2 linked regions of the Sus scrofa genome follow. The protein of the gene in region 2 purifies or fractionates together with the protein of the main gene of each other region. This does not show direct contact. Links are inferred from orthologs where the notes say so. Each region holds a gene or a part of one and is shown on either strand. Other genes may lie near its edges.

Region 1 (2,323 bases), on a different chromosome or scaffold from region 2:
GGCTTCAGATGTGAAGCGAACAGACGGTGCGAGCCTTCTTCTGTGCCTCTGCGGGGTGTGGTCAAGCCAAACCCCTACCAACAAGGGTGGCCGCAGGAGAGGCCAAAATGGCAAAAGCATGACTGGGGGCTGGGATGTTTAACATTTTTTACTTTGCTTTTAAGAAGCCCTAACAAGATGGCAGCTCCTGCTGCCCAGCTGACTTTCACAAAGAACAAGCAGAGACTGCCACGGAGCAGGGGTCGCTCCACGTAAAGTCACTGTGATCATAGTTTGCTCATAATCTCTTACCCTCCCACAAAGTCAGACAGACAGACACACACACACACATGGGCACGCACACACCCCCCCTTCCACCACGGAGGAAATCTTTGCAACAAGAGGCACTTGAATGATATTCGGAGAGTTCCCATGAAAAGGCCTTCCCCTCACAGTGAAGTGGGATCAGCAGAACAGAAACCGGATTCTCAAGACTCCATCTCTTCTTGGTCGAGGGGTGGCGGCACAAAGCTGATGACTTCATCGTAGGTCAGGCCTAGAAATCAGGAAGGAAAAGGAGGACGTGAAAGTTCGGACTATTCATTTTGTTGGCAAGCACCCTAACTTCTAAGCTCAAGATCCTTCCTCCCTGTCCAGACTAGTGGTTCCATGGGCCACTTCAAATAACTGCCTCACCGTTTGTGTGTGATATCCTGATGGAACATGTGATTCCACAGAAGTTCAAGGATACATACAAGAGAAGCATCCTTTATTGCTTCTTTAATCATCCAGTGCCTCCTCTTTAAAACTCTCTGAAGATGCTTGAGAATAACGTAGTAATCCCATTTGCTGTAGCAACAGATAGTCCTGGCTTTTGAAATTTCACTGGAGTTTTCTGAATGTGTGTTTTATGGAGAGACTATGAAACTGAGCACAGGAGACCTGGGTTCTATTTCTGGCTGTGTCCCTAATTAGGTCTAAGGTAACAGTTAAGATGTTAACTTTCTTCACCCAAGTTCTATCAATTATAAAACTGTAAATGCACCCTATCCCCTACTTAGCTGGGAAAGATGGTATAAATGCAAAAATTCTGAGAACCTCAAAGTTCTATGCAGACGTGAGGGGCTGTGCACAAAATCAGACCAGACAGAAGCATCTCAAAGGTCCAGAGTGTCATCATCTACAACAGACAGTTTCCATCAGAGGAACATACTCATTCTGCATTAGAGACCTAACGACAAGGTTTAACAAGTTGGATTTAACCAGGAGTCCGCACCTCCACCCCCCACCCCCCTGCCCTCCCCCACTGACAGCTTTTGGTTTGTGGTTCACCTGGCAAAGATTTTTAAAGCTACGTGTTCATCATGCTCAGACTTACTTTTCCATTCATCTATAAGGAGGTCCCTGCTTTCAAAAGACTGATCGTAAGGATCAGCCACTGGTTCATCATCAGGATCATGGTACTGAGCAAAGTAGGCATGCGCAAGGGCTTGGGCTGCTGTAATTCTCTTATCTGAGTCCAAAACAAGCATCTTCTCCAGCAAGTCAACAGCTATCAGTGATGCAGATTGGAAGGAAAAAAGAGTTTTTAACACACTGCCAAAAATGTATGCTTTATTAAGCAAAACACAGTTTTGACCTTTTACACCAAAACAAAGAATTCTCCTTCAATTCTGGGATGTTACTCCTTTCCTCTTTTATTTTTTTTTTTTTTTTTTGGTCTTTTTAGGGACACACCTGCAACACATGGAAGTTCCCAGGCTAGGAGTTGAATGGGAACTGTAGCTGCCAGCCTAGGCCACAGCCACAGCAACGAGGGATCTGAGCTGGGTCTACAACCTACACCACAGCTCATGGCAACACTGGATCCTTAACCCACTGAGCAAGGCCAGGGATGGAACCTTGAACCTCGTGGATACTAGTTGGGTCCATTATCACTGAGCCACAACGAGAACTCCCCTTTCCTCTTTTATGTTTGTTTGTTTTTGTCTTTTTTGTCTTTTCTAGGGCTGCACCCACAGCACATAGAGATTCCCAGGCTAGGGGTCGAATCGGAGCTGTAGCCACTGGCCTACGCCAGAGCCATGGCAACTCGGGATCTGAGCCGCATCTGTGACTTATACCACAGCTCATCGCAATGCCCGATCCTTAACACACTGAGCAAGGTCAGGGATTGAACCCGTAACCTCATGGTTCCTAGTTGGATTCGTTAACCACGGAGCCATGACAAGAACTCCCCCTTTCCTCTTTTAAATATATGTGTGCACGTGCATGGATGGATGTTGTATTTTTTCTTTCTTTTCTTTTTTGGCTGCCCAGCAGCATGAGGAGTTCCTGGGCCAGG
Region 2 (4,077 bases):
AGGGACCGCACATCCAGCATCAGAGCAACGTTGGAGCCTCGCCTGAAGCACAGGAGCCGGCGTCCAGTGACAATCATGATCTGGGGCGGCCCTTAGTCTTCCCCTTGACTCCGAGCTGACACCCCAGCCCTGGGCAGCCAGAGCAGGTAGCTCTGAGCCCAGCTGCTCCCTCCAGCTGCCCCCACTCCCTGTTCCTGGCCTGGCCCCTAAAGTTTGGACCCATATCCAGGCTCAGGGCCCAGATGCAGGGTAGACCTGTGTGCAAGGTTGCCCCACACAGGTAAAGGGCATGCAAGTGACATGCAAATGAGCACATCTGGTTTCCTTTCTAGCCTGGGGTGACAGGATCCAGCTGGAGGGGCAGCAGAGGGGCTGGGGTGGGAAGGCACCCCCCCACCGAAAGTCTCACCTCTCCTGCAGCCTCACGTGCTTCTTGGCTGGCGCTTGGTCAGGTGGAGGCTGGGCCATGGCTGCCCCAGAAGGCGAGGCCCGCAAGTATGCTTTGGGGTGCCCCCAGGGGCCTGGATCATGCTGCGGGGAGGCTGGGCCCAGGGAACACTCACTCGGCCATGAGGTTTGACCTCTGGGCTGACTGACCGGCCAGGGGGGAGGCTCCCAGGCCCAGGCCAGCCTTCTGCCCTCCGGCACCTCTGTTTTCACTGAGTTGTCTTCTGCTCCCCAGGAAGTGGTTGTGTTTTCACCATCGGAAGGCCAGGATCTCTGTGGGGGCCCCCAGGGCTGGGCCGGGTGAGAGTAAGGACGAGAGGGGGATGGAGATGGTGGGTGAAGACAGGAGGGGATCCAGGAGCACAGGGTGGACGGGCTGCCCGAGCCCTAAGCTGGGCCCGGACGGGGAGGCCACGGGCTCTGGGTAGAGGAAGGGCTCAGAGACACCCCCTGGGGTCTCTCCTGGATCAGAGGGTGGAGGCCTCTGGCCACCCTGGAAGCCCTGCGACCCAGGCAGGGGGGCTGCGGGCCCAGCTGCTGGCCATCCCAGGGTCACTGGATCTCTGGGGTCCCTGTCCGAGGAGGCAGGCTGGGGGTGTTTCCTTCCTCCCTGCCCATCCCCCCCATCCCGCCTCTGTAACTGTCACAGGAAATGGCCTCACCAAGCCCTGAGCCACAGCACATGGGGAGGCGACAGCTGGGGGCACCAGAGGGGCCCGGGGGTGGTGGGGCACCCTCCTCTAGGATCCAGTCCCCACTGCCCAGACCAGGTCCAAGTTGGGGTGGGGGTGTTGGGGTCGCGAGCCCATGGGGACAGAGGTGAGGCACGAGCAGCCCTGGGATGAGGGTGGCAGAGGCTCTCGGCAGCAAGAGGGCCCTGCCTGCCCTTGCGCCCCCTGGGCTCCCTGCCTGCCCCCTCAGGGACATCGGCTGGGTCAGCGCCCACTCCCCGGCCGGGCCCATGACCCCCCCGCCCCCTCCTGCACGTCCTCTTTGCAGACACCCTCCCTTCCTGTCTTTGCAGGTCCCCCCACCCTGGCCGGGGACTCCTTCCCCTTCAGGGACTTACTGAAGCAGCTGTGTCCCCAGGCGCCTCTTGCCAGCTGTCTGTCTGTCTGTCGGTCTGTCTTTGAGGGCTGAGAAGCCTTCAGGAAGCCCGCTTCCTCCCTCCGCCCCTCCTCGCTGCCACCCACGCACACCCAGCTGCACGCTGCCACCACCAGGGGTCGGTTGCCTCCTGCCTCTGCCCCTCTGGGGACCGGCTGGCCCGACCCAGCACCTCTGCTACCGGCCCGAGGCCCTGCTCGGTGGAATCAGACGGGGCACAGGGCCCCTGCTAACCACCAGGTTCCTCCCGCGGTGTTGCTCCACCGACCCAGTCCGTCCAGCCCCTGCCCACTTGCCCGGCAGGGCTCTGCCGCCTGCCCCCTGCCGTCCCACGCAGAGCTCCTGCTGCAGCCGTCCTTGGCAGGAGAGTGATTTCCACTTCTTTGCTTCTGCTCGGAGTCCTCACCCTGGAAGCCTCTGCCCCTTCGCGCTGTGGGGGTTCACGCCAGGCACAGGCAGGGTGGGTGCAGACTTGGGGCGGGGAGGCAGGAATCCTCGCTCCGCGAGGGGAAGGCTCAGACCAGGCCCGAAAGGCCATCCCCAGGCTGTGAGCCACACCCCAGCTCTCCAGCTGTCCCTAGTCGGCTCCAGGCCCGCAAGCCTGCAAGCAGGTAGTAGAGAAGCCTTGTAGGCGGGCCCCGGGGGCCTCCCTGGTCCCAGCCCTTCCAGGCCTCCTGCCAGCACCCCAACATCTTCTCAGAGACTCACAGAGAGGGGACAGACTCCGGCTCTCACACCAGGGACACCCATGTCTTCTTGGCTGCTTGGGAGCCCGGTGTCTGGGCCTGAGGGGCAGCCCCCGAGAGCAAGAGCCCGCTGCTCTGGCCTGTCCCCCGCCGATGGCCCCTTGCTGGCCAGCGGCCCTGCCGGCTCCTTCTCCCTGAGCCCCTCTGTCACCTTGAACACTCCGAGCGCCCCTCCCTCGCGGCCCCCAACGATCCCGTCCTCCCCCTCCGCCCACTTCTCTGATTCAGCTGTCAAAGGGTGACAGCAAAAGAGAACTGAAGTACGAGAGGCCCGGGGGTGGGCACCCAGGGGGCGGGGGGGCTCCCTTCTGCTGGCCCAGGGCTCAGGCTGAGATGAGGCCCAGGGCTGCGGGAGGGGACAGGGGTCTGGGACCCCTGATCAACCTGTGCAACGTGTTCTTCCCCACAACGATCCCCCCCACCCCCACCGGCCCTGCCTGCTAGTGTCTCGGAGGGGAACAGGAGGGGTGGGAAAGAGGGCCACCAGCTCCGGCCGATCTGTTGATGGTTATCAAGAACAGGAAGCTAGGGTACCGCAGGGGCGGGAGGAAGCAGGCAGAGCCCTCCCCACATGGCTCTGTCCCCAGGTTCTTGGGGTCTGAGCCCTGGCTGGCTGGAGCCCCCTCCCTCCCAGCGCTTTGAGAGGCTGAGGGTGGAGATCCAGGAAGCCAGAGGCCAGGGGGTGGGGTCGGGGGGGTGGAGGTGGGGAGGGGGCCATGGCTGGGTGCTGGGCATGACCCTAAGGATCTCAGTTTCCTTTGGCTGTGTTAGGGGTGGGGGGATAGTCAGCTTGTCTCTGGCCCCTGCCCAGCCCATCTTGCTTAAAAATGCCAGGTCAGGAGTTCCCGCCGTGGTGCAGAGAAAACGAATCCGGCTGGTATCCATGAGGTTGTGGGTTCGATCCCTGGCTTCGCTCAGGGGATTAAGGATCTGGCGTTGCCAATGAGCTGTGGTGTAGGTCACAGATGTGGCTCGGATCTGGCATTGCTGTGGCTGTGATGTGAGCCGGCAGCTGTAGCTCCAATTCCACTCCTAGCCTGGGAAACTCCATATGCTGTGGATGTGGCCCTAAAAAGATAAATAAATAAATAAATAAATGCCAGGACATCCATGGACATGCCACTGGAGTATGAGCCAGGCCACAAGCCTCAGCCTGGCCTAGGGGCTGGGGACAGCAGACAGCTGCTGTGCTCTCTCCGCAGGGAAGTGACTCCTGTCCCCTGCCTTCCCCAACTAGGGCTGTGGCCCTGCCTCCGATGGCTCTAGCTGCTGCCTTTCCCTCGGAGTTGGGCTCCTGCTGCAGTTGGAAGCTGAGTCTCACTGCCCAGCCCAGGGTCACCCCTCCTCCCTGGGGCTCAGGCTCCTCCCCTGGTTCCTCCCCCCATTGGTCAGAAGGTGGCAGCCGCTGCAGTGTCCGGAGCTGTCAGCTGGAGCAGCGGCTCAGGGGGGCCCGGAGTGCAGGAGCTCCACGTCCCCGTAGACCCCCGTCCTCCTCACACCTCTTCTCTAGCTGCCCTTTAGGGAGAGGCTGCCTGGGCCCCATGGTTACCTCTGGCCCCCCAGGCTGCAAGCCTCAGCTCCCTCTTCCCATGGTCAGCAGCCCTCAGAGGGGCAGGTACACAGGAATTCCTGCAAGTTCTTGTTCCATAGCACCTGGGGAGCGGGCGGGGCTGCTTCCAGCCCAGAATCAAAGGTGACCAAGCTCCTGAGGCCTGGTCCCTGGGGCTGGGCCAGCGGAGGGGGCTCTGCACCCACCCCCCCCAGCCCATGTCCTGCT

The links.
Region 1: the proteins of PTPN7 (region 2) and MAPK14 purify together in Homo sapiens (affinity purification with mass spectrometry; 3 studies listed by BioGRID and IntAct, with this or other methods). This does not show direct contact. The link is inferred for Sus scrofa from reciprocal best matches to the Homo sapiens genes PTPN7 and MAPK14.

What each region holds. Positions count from the first base shown.
Region 1 is NC_010449.5:31,857,398-31,859,720, reverse strand, and holds part of MAPK14 (mitogen-activated protein kinase 14), read right to left. Parts: intron 1,532-2,323; coding exon 1,358-1,531; intron 1,160-1,357; exon of another isoform or gene 1,078-1,159; intron 536-1,077; coding exon 468-535; 3' UTR 1-467. UniProt on the Homo sapiens protein: Serine/threonine kinase which acts as an essential component of the MAP kinase signal transduction pathway.
Region 2 is NC_010452.4:24,333,627-24,337,703, forward strand, and holds the start of PTPN7 (tyrosine-protein phosphatase non-receptor type 7), read right to left. Parts: upstream 2,801-4,077; 5' UTR 1,517-2,800; intron 739-1,516; 5' UTR 469-738; coding exon 410-468; intron 43-409; coding exon 1-42. UniProt on the Homo sapiens protein: Protein phosphatase that acts preferentially on tyrosine-phosphorylated MAPK1. Plays a role in the regulation of T and B-lymphocyte development and signal transduction.